Solanum lycopersicum: one gene and its partners. Each later gene encodes a partner of the first gene's protein in a complex. Links are inferred from orthologs where the notes say so. Each region holds a gene or a part of one and is shown on either strand. Other genes may lie near its edges. The genes, in order: large ribosomal subunit protein bL34c, large ribosomal subunit protein bL31c, large ribosomal subunit protein uL5c, large ribosomal subunit protein uL15c, large ribosomal subunit protein uL4c and large ribosomal subunit protein uL1c.

Evidence for each region.
Region 2: large ribosomal subunit protein bL34c (region 1) and large ribosomal subunit protein bL31c share a complex: the UniProt entries of both Arabidopsis thaliana proteins name them as parts of the 50S ribosomal subunit. The link is inferred for Solanum lycopersicum from reciprocal best matches to the Arabidopsis thaliana genes AT1G29070 and emb2184.
Region 3: large ribosomal subunit protein bL34c (region 1) and large ribosomal subunit protein uL5c share a complex: the UniProt entries of both Arabidopsis thaliana proteins name them as parts of the 50S ribosomal subunit. The link is inferred for Solanum lycopersicum from reciprocal best matches to the Arabidopsis thaliana genes AT1G29070 and AT4G01310.
Region 4: large ribosomal subunit protein bL34c (region 1) and large ribosomal subunit protein uL15c share a complex: the UniProt entries of both Arabidopsis thaliana proteins name them as parts of the 50S ribosomal subunit. The link is inferred for Solanum lycopersicum from reciprocal best matches to the Arabidopsis thaliana genes AT1G29070 and RPL15.
Region 5: large ribosomal subunit protein bL34c (region 1) and large ribosomal subunit protein uL4c share a complex: the UniProt entries of both Arabidopsis thaliana proteins name them as parts of the 50S ribosomal subunit. The link is inferred for Solanum lycopersicum from reciprocal best matches to the Arabidopsis thaliana genes AT1G29070 and RPL4.
Region 6: large ribosomal subunit protein bL34c (region 1) and large ribosomal subunit protein uL1c share a complex: the UniProt entries of both Arabidopsis thaliana proteins name them as parts of the 50S ribosomal subunit. The link is inferred for Solanum lycopersicum from reciprocal best matches to the Arabidopsis thaliana genes AT1G29070 and EMB3126.

The regions. Positions count from the first base shown.
Region 1 is NC_090800.1:53,256,454-53,259,549, forward strand, and holds large ribosomal subunit protein bL34c, read left to right. Parts: upstream 1-1,328; 5' UTR 1,329-1,455; coding exon 1,456-1,669; intron 1,670-2,194; coding exon 2,195-2,451; 3' UTR 2,452-2,571; downstream 2,572-3,096. UniProt on the Arabidopsis thaliana protein: This protein binds directly to 23S ribosomal RNA.
Region 2 is NC_090803.1:66,609,049-66,611,954, forward strand, and holds large ribosomal subunit protein bL31c, read left to right. Parts: upstream 1-1,605; 5' UTR 1,606-1,755; coding exon 1,756-1,824; intron 1,825-1,908; coding exon 1,909-2,229; 3' UTR 2,230-2,395; downstream 2,396-2,906. Other genes in the region: mannan endo-1,4-beta-mannosidase 7-like, read left to right, coding at 47-461. UniProt on the Arabidopsis thaliana protein: Binds the 23S rRNA.
Region 3 is NC_090808.1:1,642,639-1,646,319, forward strand, and holds large ribosomal subunit protein uL5c, read left to right. Parts: upstream 1-1,454; 5' UTR 1,455-1,623; coding exon 1,624-1,875; intron 1,876-2,303; coding exon 2,304-2,849; 3' UTR 2,850-3,049; downstream 3,050-3,681. UniProt on the Arabidopsis thaliana protein: Binds 5S rRNA, forms part of the central protuberance of the 50S subunit.
Region 4 is NC_090804.1:3,795,294-3,799,592, reverse strand, and holds the start of large ribosomal subunit protein uL15c, read left to right. Parts: upstream 1-1,476; 5' UTR 1,477-1,669; coding exon 1,670-1,750; intron 1,751-1,828; coding exon 1,829-2,186; intron 2,187-4,299.
Region 5 is NC_090806.1:67,227,631-67,231,317, forward strand, and holds large ribosomal subunit protein uL4c, read left to right. Parts: upstream 1-1,516; 5' UTR 1,517-2,007; coding exon 2,008-2,836; intron 2,837-2,909; coding exon 2,910-2,947; 3' UTR 2,948-3,136; downstream 3,137-3,687. UniProt on the Arabidopsis thaliana protein: This protein binds directly and specifically to 23S rRNA. May play a role in plastid transcriptional regulation.
Region 6 is NC_090800.1:78,436,356-78,439,069, forward strand, and holds the end of large ribosomal subunit protein uL1c, read left to right. Parts: coding exon 1-42; intron 43-927; coding exon 928-1,011; intron 1,012-1,275; coding exon 1,276-1,401; intron 1,402-1,606; coding exon 1,607-1,741; 3' UTR 1,742-2,052; downstream 2,053-2,714. UniProt on the Arabidopsis thaliana protein: This protein binds directly to 23S ribosomal RNA.

The DNA of each region.
Region 1 (3,096 bases):
TGCTATAGATGACCAAGGAGCATCACGTTGGCTTTGAAGCAGCTGCATGGTACTGGCATTTTGTAGACGTGGTTCGGTTATTCCTATTTGTCAAATTCCATGTTTGTGTGTTGAATGGACTTGTGAATTACACCTTTAATTTTTAACTCATGTTGTTTATATGTTTCTGGTTGGGCTGCTAGTATTGAGTCTCCTAATTTCCCCTACAAAAGATTTTTACTGTCATTCGGGGACGAATGTTCCTAAAGGGGGATAATGTAACACTTCGAAAGTCCATGACCTAATCTAGAGATTCATATAATGAACCAACACTTCAAAAACTGTTTATTTACCTGAAATACTATATTTAAAGTATTTAGGAAGTGTTAGAGTCAAATGTCAAGAAATGACCATGACGTTCGATGATTGTGAAATATGCACTCGTGTGCCTTGGCATGTTGCATAGAGGTTTAAGAGTCGTAATTTAATGAAAGTTGGTAAAAAGGCGTTACATATATAGAAGAGAGTATTTAGGGTTGAAATGTACAGGTACGACTCCCCAAGGGCCACCCTAGGGGTCCTTGAGGAGGACCCTTCCATTTGGACCCAAAAGTTGTCAATTGACAGTGTACAACCACGAGCCAAGCGAGGAGTCGTCGTTTGATCGACGCTCCGTAGATGGCCTCATAGGTTGACACTTATTCAATTGGCCTGGATGCTCCAAAAATCAAGTCTCTGTCCCAAACAACGACCAGCAGCACGGGGCCGTTGATGGGACTACAAGGCATAGGTCGAGGAGTCGTCGACTGGGTTTGTTTTGCTGTCAAGTTTTTAAGTTGGGGATTTGATCAGTTAGTTAGTTAGTTAATTAATTAAGGGTTAGGGGGTGGTTAATTAAGTTAGTTGAAGGACTATATAATACCTAAGCCTCATTAAACTAACCTAACACCCCACAATTCCCAAACTCAAATCCTCTCCAACTTCTCTCTTCTTTCTCTCTCTATTGCAAGACCCCATTGAAGAACAATTCAAAGCTTGAGTAGGACTTAAATACTTCAAATTTTATCCATCAAACACTAAGTAATCCTAAGGTATGAAAGATCTACACTCTTGGGATCTCTTTCCCCAAAAGGCTCTTGAATTTGGGTCAAAATGATGAAATTGGATAATTTTAGTAAATTTGGAATTTTCATCCAATTGAGGGGCATAAATGATGAAAATTAGTAACGACAAGAGTAAAAATAATTTCCTTTTAAGGTAAAAGACATAGTAAATCAATAAATAAAATTGAAAAATATTTTTACCCTTTCCACTTTAAATAAAAGTGTTTTACTGTGTCAAACCCTCTCTAAATCCATCTTTAACCCGTTTATCTTTTCGGATTACCTAAAGAGTCCCTTGGATTGCAGATAAGGCATCAAAACCTCTTATAGATAGACAGAAGAGTAAGAGGGAGAGTTTTGAAAGAGAGAAAAAATGGCTTCTTTGTCAATGGGAAGTTGGGTATGTTCAGGAATAGGAAACCACAGACCATCCGCTTCGCTTTCTCTACGTACTGGTTCTTCAACAACGACTACTTCTGTTTCTTTGAAAATGGCTGCTAATGCCTCTACTCATTCTGGGTTGCTTCACTGCTCTTTTCTTCCTTCCTCTGCACTCTCTACATTATCTTCTTCAACATCCTTTTCTGGTAAGTTCCATAAATTCTCTATCTTCCTTTTCAATTTTGATGTGGAAATTGAAAATGTGAATTAGAGATTTCAGTTGTTATTTGAATTGGTAATGTGGGGTTGTTTATTGATTCCTGTTTTAGGCAGGTAGTATTTTCATTTGAATTGCTTCTTTTGAGAACTCCTTAATAGGCAATTATTCGCTTGTGTGTATCTTGAGTCCTGTTAAATTATATACACTCTTTGAAGGTACAAGGGGGAGACAAGAGTAGGTTGCAATTCTTCATTCTGATGTTTAGTATTCCATATAACACAAATTTGTAGTGTCTATTTGTGGTCTGACATTGCTGTGCTATTGAAAAAAAGTGAATCGTATTTCTGATTTTATAGTCAAAATCCATTGGTTAAAGCTAGATTATAAAACAATTGAACCAAAAAAGTTTCAACAAAGAGGAGACCTTTAAGGTCCAAAAGACATATGATCAATTTCATATTAAATTGGCATGATGAATAGTAGCGAGCTAATGGTTTAATATGTGGTGTAGGTTCATCATTTGGCATTGGCTTCAATTCCAACATTGGAGTGAGCACCACTAAAAGGCGTGGCCTGGTGGTGCAGGCAAAGAAGTATGCTCTTTGTCAGACTAAGAGGAATAGGTCGAGGAAGTCGTTGGCTCGAACACATGGTTTTCGCAAGCGTATGAGCACCACCAGTGGCAGAGCAACTATCCAGCGAAGACGTGCAAAAGGCCGATGGGATCTCTGCCCAAAGTCTTCACCTAGAACTGGAAAACGAGCTTAATGTTTATTGTTTTCTTGCAACTGATTTTTGTTGGTAATATGTTAACTATCTTTTTCAGAATTTTGGGCTGCTGTAATTTTCATCTGTTTTATTTAAAGAACTAATTTACTAGTTTCCATATTTTTGTATTGTCCACTCTTTCATTGATTGGTTTTTGCTTTCTCCTTCTGATCTTGTTCATGAGTCTGGTCAACAAATCGACCCTGAGAAATTTGTAGACTCAGCAGGTTTTCATTTGTCTGATTCATCATAGGGCTTTTTCAGAGGTCTAATGTTTTCTTTTGTTTTCCATTTGTCATTGGAGAAAGTATTATAAGAAAGTTGCTCCACCAAAGAGGGGAATATGAGACTGACATGTTGAGGTGTTTTATGGACATCGATCGAACAAGGCCCTTATGTAAGGGTGCTATATTGTTCTCACAAATCATTCTTCACATGTTGGGTGAGCTTGGATTGTAACTGCAGTTATTTGGAAATTTCAGAATTGCATTTGTGTTACTAAATTTTGCTTCGTAACTGAGGATTTTACTAGTATGCTGCAGGATCATCCGGCTGTTGGCATGTGTAAGTTGAAATACAATTTAGAAATGTGCCCCAACCGAACCAGAAACCGACCTGTCTATGGTTTTTTTCTATAAATTAGTA
Region 2 (2,906 bases), on another chromosome or scaffold:
GAAAAATGACTTTTGTCATACCAAATCATTGCGATTCTTTATGTAGGTTGACAGGTCAAGATGATGAAGCCCAACTTAATTTTCTAACCAATTGGCTCAAAGTTCACATTGAAGACTCACAAACAATTCTAAAAAAGCCTATTATATTTGCTGAGTTTGGCAAAACAACAAAAGGGCCTGGCTTTACACCACAACAAAGAGATATAATCTTCAACACTGTTTATTCCTCTATATTTTCATCAGCTAAAGGCGGCGGCGCGGCGGCAGGAGGGTTGTTTTGGCATGTTTTGGCTGAAGGAATGGATTCATTTAAAGATGGATATGAGATTATATTGAGTGAAAGTTCATCTGTTTCTGATATTATTATTCAGCAATCTAAAAGGCTTAATAAGATTAGAAAAATGTATGCAAGGTTGAAGAATATAGAGAAGTGGAAGAAAGCAAGGAAATTAAAGGATTAATCATGAGAATTAGAGAGATTTAATTTATGTTAGAGATGAATTAATTTAAGTTAGCAAGAAGTTAGATAATGTTTTTTTTTTTTTTTTTTTGGTAATGTACTGCTCGACATGTTGTATGTCAGAGGAAGTATTCTAGTAGTGATTTATTATGCCTTAAAAAAAACATCGATTGTATCGATGTATCTAGTGTAATTTCATATGATTTTATTTTATGAAATTGAAGAGTTTATTTTTGATAAATTAAGATATTTCAAAGCATATTAAAAAAGAAATATAATAGTAAAGAAATTATTTTTTTTTAAAAAAAAAGATTAATGAATCAATACAACGTGTGGGATAACAAAAATTGAAAGTAGGACAAGATAAATAACTTGGATTTGCTTATGGCGGTAAGCACAACATCACTTCTGTTTATTCAAACACTTTATTCTTATCAAAGATTATAATCGAACTAAGTTATTATCAATCATGCCTGGTTGAATTAATCTTTCAATAATATGTAAAAAAAAAAACAAAAAACTATTTGGTAAACTCTAGATACAAAGGAAAAAGGAGGATATTTGATTTATAAATTGGCCAATTTGTGTTACACGTCTCGGAGAGGAGAGACCGATAGTATTAAATTCAATGGTCAAGAAGTCGTAATTGACACTCTATACATGGTGGGTGATATGAGTATAAATATAAATAATCTACAGATAATATTTTATTAGCATTATTTCTCCAGATGGTTAAGACTTGGAACTTTTAAGTTAGAGGTCTTAAGTTCAAAATCACTTGCCAGCGAAAGTAAATTCTGGGTTGAGCTCATCGCACCGAATTTGCCTAATGCAGATTATTTCTCCTATGTGATTTGCGAACTAACGTATAGGAGCGGGAGTTTTACCATGTGCCCACCCAAAAACAGCGATTACTTAAAAATAAAATAATAAAAATACTTTTGAGATTAGTCAAACCTTTTTTCTACTAGGGTAAATGATATTTTTACAACAAACAAGTTTTTCTTAAAAAAATATGCAATACTTATGCAAGAAATCAAATTAGTAATAACGAATCAATAACTAATCCCAAACAACCCTAACGAGTTTAATCCATTTTTGAAAGAGTATTTACATAAATGGGCCTTACCTACTCCTTGGGCTTCAAGTAATAGCCCAAAAGTAACATCATACAAAACTAGCCCAAGTAGAGCCCAATCAAATATACAGCCCAATATCCTCAGATAAGCAATCTAATCTTCAACCCGTTCCTCTTTTTCTCCATCTCTCATTCTTCTTCTGCAAAAATACCAACAATGGCGCTCACTCTCTCCAACACTTTCCTTCAAAAAAATGTCGCTCCTCCTTCATTCTCCTCCAAGAAGGTAACTCCCCAAAATCTCCATACCCATAACTTTTTTTTTTTTTTTTTAAAAAGTATATGATTGTTGAAAAATTGAATTTTGCAGATGGGAATTGGGAGCAATCAAATGCGATGGAGCTGCAGGAAGAAGGATATACATCCGCAATTCTACGATGACGCTAAGGTATATTGTAATGGAGAGCATGTGATGACAACTGGGGGAACAAAGAATGAGTACACAGTTGATGTTTGGTCAGGTAATCATCCTTTTTATCAAGGTAGTCGTTCACAGCTACTTCTTGATGCTGACCAGGTAGAGAAATTCAGGAAGAAGTTTAGTGGGTTAACACAGATTATGCAAATTCCAACTCTCAAAGGAGAGATTGTGCTTCCTCCTAAGAAGAAGAAACCTACTAAGAAGAAGTAGACTTTATTGTGTGTTTGTAATTCCCTTAGTTCGTTTCGTAAATGGGGAAATTGTTGGAGAATTAGGGGTTTTGTGTATTTTGTGTTTGTATTTTGATGGTTTCAGTTGTGAACTCAGTCTATTATTTGAAAATGGAAGTATAAAAATTCAGTCTTTGTTCTTCAAATTTTTGGATTTGCTGTTGTTGTTATATGGTTCATCAATTAGTTGGGCTGGTAGAGCATTTAAGTTGAATCCAGTGAATTGTCTTGCTTTCGATTGCCATTATTGCTTCGACTATTGGAATGTAATGAGCCTAATAGAGCTGAATGGATACAAAAAAATTGTGTTAACTTAAAACAGTTTGGATCAGGTGTAGTTCATTGATCATAGTTTACGTTCAATAGTTTCAAATGAGTTGTCTTTCACCCCTTTACCTGATAAACTGAACGAAACTTGTCCGTTTTGCACTATCTTGGTGTAATGTTATACCTGTGATTGGAAAGGCTGATTGTTTCAGGGTTTCAGCCGTCCCTTGAATCCTTGACAAAGTAAAGATGAAATAAAGTCTGTTATAGATTTGGTGTCTTGTCTTTTGTATGGTTGCATTAGCCAAGCGTTCTAATGTTAGTTGTACTGGTGCTGTGGTGCACTTCCATTCTTGCAGTTTACTGTGTAAAATGCTTTTTGAGAGTTGT
Region 3 (3,681 bases), on another chromosome or scaffold:
TGAATTTAAAATTTCTGATAAAAATATATTCGTACTTTCTACTCTACCACAACTTTTGAGGTTCCAATCCCATTCGATGTGAAATTCTTTTATTTTCACCTTTATTCAAGGTAAACTCATCCAAAATAAATAAATTATAAACGAAGTTCAAATAATCTAAGTAAATACAAGTATAGAAGAAATGAGCGAAATTAGGCTATAAATGTAAACAAAGACATGCCAGTGAAGAAACTGGCTAAATAATAAAGATTAGGTTTATTTAATGAAATGGGCCACTACGACGTTAAATTTTCAAAAAATTATCCAGCCCACAAACCAATTTAGACTTGGGCCTACCTCATTCCAGTCTAATAGACCCCAATATTTTCTTGGTAAAAATTTTTGTTGGGCCAATAAAATTTGATATAGTAAATTTCATATATAACAAATACAAAATTTATATTTGTATGATATAGCAAAGTTTGTATACTTGCGCTCGGTGACAAATATAAATATGCATAATTCCCTATATACATATACAAAGAAAGCAGTTGTATAATTCACTATACATATACAAAAGAAAGCAGTTGTATACAAAAGATAAATTGTATAATCTGCCATTTGTGTATGTATAAAACGAGAAAAAGAGAAAGACAAAAGAAAACTGAGCAGGAGAATATTTGTTTTGTATAATTACAAGTGTATAGGACGAAGATATATGTATTTACATGTGTATATACAATTTTCTCTCGCTTTATACAAACAGAAATGCAATTTATACATTTCGTTTCTGTTTGAATAAGCGAGAGAGGCGAGGGAGATTCGGGAGAGTGGTGAGTGAGATTTGAGATAGGTGAACAAAACTATATGTATCTATACAATTTTCTCTCACTTTATACAAACGCAAACACATTTTATACAATTGTGTTTGTATAAAAAACGAGAGAGGTGAGTGAGACTGTCACAAAACGAGAGTGGCGAGCGAGATTCCACCAGGGAGAGTGGCGGAAATAGCAATAGTTTGCTATAGGGTACAATTAAATCAAAGTATATTTATAACATTTAATTTAAATTAACAGTTTGCTATTATATACAATTTTCCTGATTTGATACGATCTTCATTCAATAATTTTTAGCCCAAAACTTAAGCTAACATTTAACCATAAATTTCATCATATGTTTGGCTTAATTTTTGGAAACATATTTCACTTTTTTTAAGAAATGTATACTAATAAGTTTTAAAAGTTATCAAAACTAACTATAAGTTTGTATTGCATAACAAAATAGAATAAAAAGATTCACTATCGTAACAATTAGTGTCCATGTCACTGAAGCAATATGGTAATTCAGAGATAGTGCAACAAGCATCATTGCATACATTATGAAGTAGACGAAACATATTGTTCGTCACTTTTATCAATAATCATATCGTCATTTTCTTATTTACTGAATATTACATCATTATTTTGATGTTCACGTAAAAAATTTTACTTGAAAAATCTATGGCGAAATGGATCCGAATTTTTTTTACTTAAACATTCACAAATTAAAATTTAGTAGAGAGAACTCTGTTATATCCACAAAGAACATCTTATCCAATTACCCTTTTATTTTTCACACACAGAGAGAAAAAGCTCAGAGAAAATGGCGGCTTCTCCTCTTCTTCTACACTCCACGGCCTCCTCTTTCTACAATGCTGAGTTTCCGGCGTACTCCGTTCGATTGCCGGTCGGAAATACCAAGGTCCGGTCGTCCAATAAATTGACGGTGAAAGCTTCAGCAACAGTACTAGTGGATAAAAGTGAAGCTGAAAAAGTTAATCGTCTGAAAACAAATTACCTCGAAAAGATTGTGCCGTTGTTGAAGGAAGAATTCAGTTACACCAATATTCTTCAGGTAAACTTAGGAGTCGTTTGTCCATTGCATTTTTTTTCCAGAACAGATAAAAATTAGGGCTTGGGAAAGGGAAAATGGGGGAATTGAACAAATTTTTCAGTTTTTAAAAAAGCTTAGTGCAGGTTCAAACACAAATTCAATTTTCAATTATACTTTTCAAGTTAATTTCAATTTCAAAGCATATGTACTTCTTTAGCTTCAAATTTTACAACTTATATCTACAAATTTGAACTGTTTCTTGTTTGTTTGATTAAATGTTGAATTTTAGAGTTGAAATGCTGAGAAATTAGTTTGTTTGACACTATTATCATTTGAGGAGTGAGAAATCACAGTGAATATTAGTTGCATTGACCTATTGCTTCAAACTCTATTATTATTTTTTAGTTTTAATTTGATTTGATACGGAATGTGGAAAAACCGTGTTTTAGGTTCCGAAGGTCGAAAAGATTGTGGTAAATTGTGGTATAGGAGATGCTGCACAAAATTCCAAGGGTTTGGATGCAGCAATGAATGATTTGGCCTTAATTACAGGGCAAAGGCCTGTGAAGACTAGGGCTAAGAATGCTATTGCTACTTTCAAAATTAGAGAAGGTCAACCGCTTGGAATTGCTGTTACACTTCGAGGGAATGTAATGTATTCGTTCCTTGACCGGTTAATTAATTTGGGGCTTCCTCGAACGAGGGACTTTCAAGGCGTAAACCCCAATAGCTTTGATGGTCATGGAAATTATAGCATTGGCTTTCGTGAACAGAGTGTCTTCCCAGAGTTAAGTTATGATGCTCTTGGTAAGCCAAGAGGGATGGATGTTTGCATAACAACAACAGCTGAGACAGATAAAGAGGCACACAGATTGTTGGCTCTCATGGGTATGCCATTTAGAGAAGGTTCTGGTGGACAGACAACTTTTACGAAAAAGAAAAAGCTTAGAGCTCACCATTTTGACTCGAAGGCGAAGCAAAGGTCTAGGAGATGAGGTGGATCCAATCTCCAGGGATAATGAGTTGATTTGTTGTTTTTTAACTGTTTTGTGGTTTATCAGTTGTTTTTGGCGTACAATTTGAATAGAAAAATCTGTAATTGCACTTTTACCATCTGGCTGGTGATGTCTCGAATATATGTTATTTACGTTTTCTTCCTCTAAAAAAAAAAAAATAAGAATTGTTTTTATCTCTAGTTAAGTTTTTACTATTCATGAATCTTGATTACTGTAATTTGTATGTTATTAAATATTTCCTACCCGCTCCCTTTTCTCGTCTGCCATTTACTTTGATTTCAGGCAAAGAGTTTCTCTTGTTAGCTCCACCATATTCACATTTAGGTGAGTTAACATCTCTGCTTTTATCTTTTATCGTATGTGATAAGGAGTATTTGCGGGCGATATCTTATTTACGTTTTCTAAATTTGTCCTAATGCTTAACACTTGATGTGTGTGAGGCTGTGGAGTCCCATACTTATTTCTACTCCCTGATCCCCCACCTTTCTCCTTTCTTCCTCTAAGGTTTATTTATATTCGCATATTAGAAAGTCACAGTTATTTATAGTATATACCATGTTGCTGAATCTTTATTCCCTTGGCTTCATTTTATTCTGCTCAAATTGTACAGAGTTTTTTCTTTCAAAGTGTGTATGAATGTGCTTTTTAGTGGTTTCAGGTTCTATGTCATTTGATTTGGTTTTAACCTGTTCTTGTAATGCTGCATTCTGATTTTGCTAGATCTCCATACTGGTACTCCAAGATAGATATCTAAGCCTATTCTTTGGTTGTTTGCCGCCCCTTAAAAAAGGAAAAAAGAAACTCAAAAGGG
Region 4 (4,299 bases), on another chromosome or scaffold:
TAGGAGTAATTTTTGTCTTTTGAATTCATCAAATATATTTTAGTTGATTTTCTCTCTTTTTTTATATATGAAAATTATATTTATATCCATCTATATTTTCATTTATTTTTAAAGGATTCTGGTTAAGAATTATCTTGTTTTCTCCATTGCAATGACTATAGTTATATTTTTTTTAAAAATAGTACAGGAGGAAGAACATGAGTAAAAAGAGATGGAGGTTTGTGTGATTGTCAAATTTGTGTGTATATATATATATATATATATATATATAAAATAGAATACTTATATACATAGATATTTGTATTATAATATTAACACTCGTTGAAAATGGTGATTTACAAATACAAATATATCTGGATACATAAGTAATTTATCCAATTTACAAGATTGATTAGGCAATACAAGTACAATTGGATACATTAATACTATATTTTTATAAATACCTAAGTTAACACCAAGCTTCATGTATTACAGGATCACTTACCAAAAAGAGATTGGCAATTGTTATTTATCAATTTTTTATACAGGCGAATTCTTATATACTTTGATACCGACACATTCTATTATTTTCTATTTTTTTGTTTCTACGTTGTCCAATTTATCCATCTTTGATTTAGTAACACAATGTATTCATATGTATACTATATTGCATTCATTTTTTGAACAACAATAATGTATTCATTTTTCAAATAGCCGTGTTCATATGCTAATTGTCATACTTTAACTTGTTTGATATATATATTGATACATTAAATTCTTACAAAAACTTGTATCATTGATATATATATATATATATATATATATATATATATATATATACACTTTACGTTTTATAAATATAGATACTAATTTGAATTCAAAGTATTCATATACTAACTGTACACAATTAATACATTTTCCTTATTTAGTTTGTTGTAATTAAACTTGTATTACTGTATAAATAGAAAAATAATAATATTTAAAGAATTAATACAGCTAGAAAAAGATATAAATTGTATTCATTTTTTATAAATAACATACTTGTAGCTATTGAACTTTGATAAATCCTATAAATGTAGTCATTTTTATAATTTGCTGATTAATGAATGTATACAGAAATTTGGGCGGAGTAAGACAGGATTAAGGAGATTCTTTTAAATTTTCTTAAGCAGAACATTATAAGAGTAATCCTCATCGGAGTATAGCATGACGAAAGAGGAAGAAAAGAAAGATTACTATCTAAAAAAGAAGTTGACGAATTACTAATAACCCTCGTATAGAATTTATCAATGACTAAGTAATCAAACATGTTAGTAATTAATATGACTTGTAGCGAGCGTTTAGATCTCTCTTTCTTAATCATATGTTTCAAATTCAATCCCATAAATGAAAAAAATCAGTTAGGAAAGTCCCCTCTAAAAATGTGCCCAGTCGTGTGTGAATTCAAATTTTATTTAAGCCTATTACTAATATCAAACATCATGTTGGAAGCAAAAAAGACCACGATCCTCAAAATGAAGTGTAATACACACATATCGAATTAAATATCGAACACCTGATAATAGACTCGTAAACTAATTTAAAAAGTAGAAAAGAAAGTCCCTGAAATAACCACCCCTATCCGTTAAAATTTGTCAAAACACTTTTTGCTTGGACAGTGAACACAATCCTGAGTTCTCCCTTATCAACAATGGCGTCTCTACTCTCCATCTCCTCTGCATCACCTACAAGAACAAATTCAATCATTACCCAGTTTTCTTCATCATTCAAGGTACAATTTCTCCTCTTTAATTTTTCAATTTCTGTCAAAATTATACAATTCTCATTTATCCCCATCAATTTTTTTCAGGGTAATGTAAGTAATTTGAAGTCAAGTTCGAAGCTTTTGCCTTTAATAAAGGTCTGCAATTTGAAATCTAAGTCAATAACAAGAACCCCATTTGTTGTTTTCAACCAAACTGCAAGTTTTGGTGCTGATTCTGCAACTGGGAGTGTTCGTTTTCGGCTTAATAACTTGGGTCCTCAACCTGGGGCTACCAAGAATAGGAAGAGGAAAGGTAGAGGGCATTCAGCTGGACAAGGGGGTAGTTGTGGTTTTGGTATGAGAGGTCAAAAATCAAGGTCTGGACCTGGAGTTAGAAAGGGGTTTGAAGGGGGTCAAATGCCTCTCTATAGGAGACTTCCTAAGTTGAGAGGAATTGCTGGAGGTAATTTGTTAACATTGCTTCAACATAATTATATTATCACAGGGGTCGTTTGGTACAAGGGATAAGAGATAATAATCTCGGGATAAAATGTTGGATTGCCTTTGGTTAGGGGTATTAGTTAGTCCCTGAATATCTATCTTGTCATTTTTATAAGATAATGATAGGATAAGTTATCTCATATATATATGGCGGGATAACTAATTCCTCGGGATATACTAATCAATGGGATAACTTTGTCTATCTCATCCCTAGTACCAAATGACCCCTTAGTTTGAGTTGGATTTTGTTTTTCCTTGTTTTGTTGTTTGTTTCTGTGTCCATCTGCAGTGTTATAGTTTACCATTTAAAAGTCTATGGATAAGTGTTATAAAATTTATAGCTTTAACTTGACTATGTGTTCTTTTTTATATTTGTGTTCGGGGCACCTTGCATGCAGTAGTGTTGTCAAAGCTGTGCATAAGCGAGGTTCAAAATGTGTTGAGCGCTTTGTCTTGCTTAATGTGCTCTTCAGGGTCGTCATCAAGTTTCTTAGGCATTCTTTTGAGTCTCTTTAGGCAACACTAAACAATTGATATTTCACTTAATAGTAAAAAAAATAATTTCTTTGTTCATATATTTGTCATTCATGCTTACAATTATTATTCTTAGACTAAACAAACATATGTATTTGTATTTCTCCCTTTGCTCCTTTTTATATTAAAGATCATGCTTTATTCACGTTTTATGCTTAGTCCCAATGGTCCTCAGAGTTTTTTTGATTTGATAACACTGTCATGTACTTAATTCCACGGGTACCTGCTTCTTCCTGCCAACACTTGTGTTGGATATTCCTTTGCTACTTCATTCCTCAACTAATGGAATACAAACTCTTTTTTCTGCCCTGCCTGGTGTCATCCATCTCCAAATAGTAAATGCGCTGCTGAGCGGATAACTCTATCCAGAAAGGCTTGGATAAATGAATATTGAACAGGAGACATTATGGTTCTCAACCAACTCCATTAACAACTACGCCACTCACTTGGGTGCACTGTGTGTATCTTTGTTTACAAGCATGTTTGTTTTTCTTTTGGTTGTGTCATTGCAGAGGCAGATTTTCATAGGATGATAAAAAGTCTTATCTGCATCTGGTGGACATATGTGTATGCATACTCAAACTGTACTGATGATTAATCTAAAGAAATTTATTACAAATGATCAATATATTGCACTAAGAAATAAAGCTATGCATAGTTATATGACATCAAGGCAAATATCTTGAAATTCTTATTTTCTTATTTGCAATATTCTGAAATCCTCAACATTTTTATCTTCCTCTATAATCCGAAGACTGTTACCCCCTTATTTAAACTAAAAGGAAAGCCTTGATCGATATGAGAGAAATGTGCTCAAGCATCCAACCAGGTGTAACGTCTGTCAAGAAGTTTCTTACTGCAAAATGAACATTCTAGGAGCTCTCACTCGAACAAATGCTCCTTATGCCATCATAAACCGAATCAGCGGATATAAAATCTGTCCTTTCCTAACCTTCCCCTAGCAGGAAACTTATTTTAAAAGGAGGAGGATTTGGAAAGTTCATACTAAGGAGGTAAAAAGGCCCTCGAGTCAAAGGGCTATTCTTCCTTTGATTTGAAGAGAATGTCAGTGCCTTGACTCTCTAGTCTCAGTGTGGCTCTTGAGTAGTCTTCACTTTCCCTTATGCATGGCGTTTGATTAAGTATTTTCTTCAATGTCAAGTTGTTGGTATTACTAAGATGATTCATAACTGTCCTTTATTTTTGGCGTAACTTGTATCCATTCGCATTATATAATGCTGAACCTTGATACTCACACCTAGAGTTGTGTGTCAAAAAATAAGTTCTTACTTTTCTTAGGCCTTTCATACTGATTAGGCCTTGCCATGTCTAATTTTTATAACTTTGACTATTTTAGGCTATTCTAACTTAATAACTGAAGTAATTGATAGTGCTCTTTGTAAAACCTCCAATCTCGTCTTTTAATTTGTTTCATTATGTGTTTTGTTGATTTAGTTAAGGATTTCCCTCAAGTCAGGCTAATCTGTCAAAAGCAATTATCTACTACATGTTTACCACCTTTGCCACCCGTTCCTTGTATA
Region 5 (3,687 bases), on another chromosome or scaffold:
CTTCTCTTTTATCTCATATTCAACATGTCAATGGCCACATATTGTAATAATGAAAATCTTGCACTTAGCAATATTGAGAACGATGTTTTCATGTCATTTCTTGAAGAACCAGAATTTGAGGCAAGTGATGAAGAGTTATTAAGAAGTGTGATTGAGTCATTAGAAGTAGAGAATATTGTTCCTAGTGTTAATACAAATGATTCAATTTTGTTTGAGCAAATGAAAGTAGAGAATTCAACTAATTTGTCTTGTGATGATCTTGGTGAACTTGAATATTGTTGGATTGATTCAGACATGGATTCTTCAACTCCTAGTGATGATGATGATATGAATATTTGGTTCAAGGATTGTTACTATGATCAAAATGGAGTTGAAGATTTCACTAACTTTGTTGGTGCATGTAGGGAGTTTTCTTGGGAAGAATCTTGTGAATCTATGCTTTATGCGCCTGATGTCTGATATTCATATTGGAGCTCAACTAATCTGGATTCACATTAGTACTGAGGGATTCATTGTTTCCTCGTAAAGGTGACTTTGTACTTTGAAAGATTCAAATCTGAAATCTCTAATTAAGGATGAAGGAGTACTTATAGATAGTCATTGAGATAGGAGTATTGATTAAGACGTTTTTCATGGCAATTGTAAATCCCATATTAGTATAAATTCTTTTTACTAAAGACCTATGAACTTTCTGTTGCTTTTAATTCAATGTGGAATAAGCATAGCTTACCTAATTTTAGGATGTAAGCTGCAGAACCTATTTTTATGGTACATTTGAAATTATTAGTTCAAAATTTAATTGAGTTTGTTAAGTTTCAACATAAGTGGAACGAGGAGAAATTGATTTCTTTATATACTCTTGAACAATCATATCTCCTCGATTTATCTTTTGAATTGAGTTAAATCTAATATGGTATTGAAGTTACGTCCATCTCACTTCATTATCATTTAATATTAGGTCTCCATTTTATATTGCTTACATTCATGATATCTGACCATGAACGTGCAAAGGAGCGTTGAGTCTTAAATTGATTGATAAGCATAAATAATCTTGAACAATTATTTCCTCTTGAGCTAGCTACGATGTTACAGTTAGATTAGATTCAAGGTTTGTTTTCTTAACCGAATTCAACATACGAGTTGGGCTTAGCGTATCATGGAAAAATTGGAAAGGGAAGGCAATATGTAGCAGGCTGCATCAATAGCGCCTCAAAATAAAAGAAAATGAAGGTTTTGGGCTTATGATGGTGTAGCCCCAACTAACAAAAGACTTGATCAAGAAAATTGTATAACTTTTATATTATATCAAAATTAATAAAAATAAAGAGCACATTTCATAAAAATTTTATTTGTCGCTTACGCTCTAAAAAATTTATTTTTTTTCCTACACAAAAGAAGATTTAATTATGTTCTTAAAGTATTGTAAATTAAATAGACATGCCCTTCAACTCTTCGTCAATAGTTTGGCTTATATATGACCTTATCATTTTGAATGTGTTATTAGTCTAAATGAAACATTTGATTAACCTCATTTGTTGATTCATAAGTGAAAAAATTATCAAATATACTCTGACAACGATAAGCATAGAAAGAATAGAATATTTGTAGACCTTATCACTATCTCGTAAAGCTAGAGAGTCTGTTACGTCGTAAAGTTGAAGAGTTCATTGGCGCAAAAGGATCGGTCCTTCACTTGCTGATCGTTCGCAAGTCGAACTCGCTCTCTTGCCACGCCTTTCACTCACTCGCTTGAGACGGACTCAATCACTCTTTGAGTTTGGAGGATTCACTCTCTTGTTATTACCCGCAGGGAGCGCATGTTTCCGCAAATATGTCCCTAAATTTATCAAATATGTGCTCAATTTCAAATACTTTGAGGGTATATATGACTTTTCCATTTTCACTAAATTTATTTGAACAAAGAATATGAATACATTTTGATATCCTTCTTCCTCATTTGTGGATAACCCAATCCATAGGCTTGCAGTTTGCTCCTTCACTGCAAAAATGGCTACTTCTTCTTCTTTATCTTTCTTTTCTTCCACCATTTTCTTCTCTAACTCCAACACCCTTCACTCCTCAAAGCAGCAGCAGCAGAAACAACTCATTTTCAAACCCAAACAACAACAATTCTCCATCCGTTCAGAGGCCGCCGCCGCCACTATTCCAATTCTGTCCTTTGATGGTACCGAAGTGGGCTCCACCACTCTCAACTTAAAATCCGCCCCTCTTGATACCGCACGCGCCGTCGTTCATCGTGGGCTTACCACTGACCTGCGCAACCAACGTCGCGGTACTGCTTCCACCCTTACCCGAGCCCAAGTACGGGGTGGTGGTATCAAACCATACCCACAAAAGAAAACGGGTCGAGCTCGACGTGGGTCGAACCGAACTCCTTTACGACCAGGTGGTGGGGTTGTGTTTGGGCCGAAACCTAAGGATTGGTCAGTTAAGATTAACAAAAAGGAAAAGAGACTCGCGATTTCTACTGCGCTTTCGAGTGCTACACAGAATGCCATTGTTGTGGAAGAGTTTGATGATAAGTTTGAGAAACCGAAGACTAAGGAGTTCATTGATTTGATGAGAAGATGGGGATTGGACCCAAAAGAGAAATCTTTGTTTTTGATGACGGAAGTTTCAGACAATGTGATTCTCTCCAGCAGAAACATTAGCACATTGAAGATGTTGACACCCAGAACTTTGAATCTTTTCGACATATTGGATTCTGAGAAGCTGGTTTTCACTAAATCAGCTGTGGAGTTCTTGAATGAACGATACGGAAATGATGATGATGATGATGATGACTGGGAGGTGGTGGACGAGGAAGAAGAAGATGGTTAGTTTTTGCTTCATTTTGGGTATGAAGTTTCCTTTCAATTTTAGCTAACTCGTTAATTTGCTGCATTCAGGTGGCGAGGTGGAGGAGAGTGCTGAAAGTTCTGAGTAATATATGAACATGGGGCGAAAAGGGTCTGTTCCATTTTAGAGGAGGCTTTACCTTACAGGGAGCTTAGTATATTTCACTTTGAATTGTATTTTATTGTATGATAAAACTAGGTGATTTTGGTTGATTTCATGTCACTGACTGCATTTGTCCATTACCTTCGTTGGAATAGTTTACTCTTGATTTTCGTTCCGCTCTCATTACCACTTTGAGTTCTTGATTTTTATGATAAGAGTGATTAGTTACTTTACTAATTAAGTCTTGTGTTCTGGCAAAACTACATTAATTGCTTAGTAGATGAAGCTTTATATAAGATTTATGGGTTACAAGTTGTCAGCCAGGCGAGATTCAGCAAAGTAAAATGATTAGGAAAGCTTTGTGTTTGAGTCTTAGGCTTGAAGCAATTAAGCAAAGTTAAGAAAAGGAAACCTTTATTTGGGTGGAAAAAGCTTCATCACCTTTTTCTTTAATACAAACACAAAGTAATTGGCAGGAAAAAATGCTCTTTACTTTGTTTTGAGTCATTGGGGGCATATGGGATGCTAAGCATTATTAACCTTGAAACAGACCATATCTAGTAGACTATCTATGGAGGCAGATAACTTGGACATTTGTACTATCAAAATATGTGATGGAGAGTATATGAGTATCTCTAGGCTTTTACTAGAACTTTTGAGTTTAAGCGCTAATTGCTACTCTGCTTTTAGCCTCAAAATAGAAGGTTTGAGAATGAATCAATGGAT
Region 6 (2,714 bases), about 25 Mb from region 1:
GAGTTTGACAAATTGATTGCAACACCAGATATGATGCCTAAGGTGTTTCTACAGTCTTTGCTATTAAAAATGTCTGACTTGCCTTTGATGTTCAATTTGATCTCCTTTTTCATTTTTTATACTGTCTTCGACAACCAGCCTATGAACTTCTGTCTCTTGGTTTTAAGAATCTCATATTGAAGTTTGCACAAGGCAAAGAGCGACTGTCTGTCTCAAATAATTCAGCATATCTCGCTCCCAAAGTTTTTGTGCATGCGTTTGGGCCTTGTCAACCTGGATATATAACTTAACAATGCGTAGCTTGTTCTGAACCAACTCACTTGACCTGGTGAAAAGCTCTAGCTGTTGTATCTTTTCTTCTGAAAATACTTCACAACTAAAATAATGATTTGGTTGAATAAAACATATTTTGTTAAATTCTATCATTCCCTTCGGAGTCTTTCTCTGTCATTCCATGTTCATTTGTTCATATATTTTGCTAGGTTGGTGCTCTTAAAATTCCTTGACCTCAAAATCTGGCTAGTCAGCATCTGCATATTTTCTAGCAAGCCTTCTTTCTGAAAAAGTTAAATCATAAAATTCTGTTGTAACATTGTGCATGAGTTTTACATTCTTCATGTGCCATATCTTGGAACAGCTTCTGCATTGTATATTTGTGAATTATGGTCCATCTTACTTTATCATAAATCTAATGCTGCAGGACTGATGGCAATATTAAGCCTAACTTAAGCTGAGTGATTAATCGCAGAGGCTCCTCTCCCCGTCTTACCATTTTAATGCTCACTGACAGCTGATTCAAAAAATTGAACCTTTTTAAGTGACTTGTCTAGAAATTAGTTTTATTAACACCTGAACAAGTATCTGTGGCTCATTTTACGTAATTTTTTTGTGAATTCATATTGATACATTCTCTACTATTTGCGGCAGGTTGCTAGCTTAGGTAGGGTCCTTGGTCCTAGAGGACTCATGCCAAACCCAAAAGCTGGTACTGTCACTACAAATATACCTCAGGTAACGTGTCAAATATTTTCTTCTTGTGAAAAAGTTGAATCAAAATACTCTCTTTCTTATGTTCTATGTGCAATGGTGGAATCCCTAGATCTTTATATTAAATGGGAAGCCACACCATATATATCCTAGCTTGGAAGTTATTCAGAGTTAACAAAATGTGAAACAATGTAGTTAATGAGTAGGCAGTGATGATTCACTTAATGGACTATTTTCTTGCTCCTTGAAAATGTTTTCAAGTATGTAAACTTGTTGTACTTCCTCCAGGCTATCGAAGAATTCAAAAAGGGTAAAGTAGAATACCGAGCAGATAAAACTGGAATTGTTCACTTGCCATTTGGAAAAGCAAATTTCTCGGAAGAAGATCTTATCATAAACTTCATTGCAGCAGTGGTAAGTTTTATCGTTAGCTCCTATTTCTTATACTTTTGTTCCAGAATAGTTTGAATATACCAACAACAACATACCGAGTAAAATTCTAAAAAGTGGGGTCTGGGGAGGGTAGAATGTATACAGACCTTACAACTACCTCATGGAGGTAGAGAGGCTGGTAGAAGCCATTGTAAATTAATTCAACTGCATTTCTTTGAATGAACAGAAATCGGTGGAAGCAAACAAACCATCAGGTGCTAAAGGAGTTTATTGGAAGAGTGCACATGTATGCTCGTCGATGGGGCCATCCATTCGGTTAAACGTAAGGGAGATGCTGGAGTACAAGCTTCCGAATGCTTAATTGAGCGAGACATGTATATTGTATCTTCTATCATCTACCTAAGTTTCTTCGGCGCCTTATCAGAGCTTCCATTTTATGAGAGTTAGGATACAAAGTAGGTGGAGTTTGAAAGGAGATCCAAACTTCATATTGTCAATATCAGTGTGGAAGCATTCATAGGCACAGTTGCTAAGAGAATAATTTTGTTTGATATTGTCAATGTTTATGTTCAGTTTAATTCTTACTAGGTGCTAATGTACATTATGCTTCGATTTGCTAAAAGGGGAGCTAATTCAATTTTCAGAAGTTTTATATGCTGCAAGATTCTCTAATTTGTGTTCATCTCTTGAGATTCTGCCAACAACTGATTGAGCTGAATAAACCTATCAGTTTTTAGTATTTTTCTTTACTTTACCACTGTGGAAAAGGGTCATACGCATGTACCCATGGGGTGGTAGTTAATTTTTTAGGATAATTTTTGTCCTTCATCACTTGCGATAACAAAAAAGTCGTCTGAAAATACTCTTAACATCGAAAATAAATAAATAAAATAAAAAACCACAAGACAATTTTATTTTTTCGTATCTAATCTAAACAATTTATGTCTCTTATTCCTAAAGAACGAAGCATAAAAGTTCAATTCATAATGCCTTATTATAAAACATAAACTTAGTTCTGGCATAACTCATGAGTTATGACTTATAAGACATAACTTAGTTTCTATGGAACTTATGTTTATCGAGAAATGTGTTCAGTCTTAAAACCCACAAAATCATGCCTCAACAGACTTAACTTATTTCTACAAGACAAAATGTTCTCTAAACTTACGCCTTACGAATGATAACATACAACTTATGTCAAATAAAACAACAAAAATCTCTAAGATTAGGTCATAACTAAAGACACTCTGATCCATAGACATGTACAAAAAGTTAAAAGATTACTAATTTAAGGATAAAAATTAAAGATCATCAATTCGTGAGAAAAAGTCAAA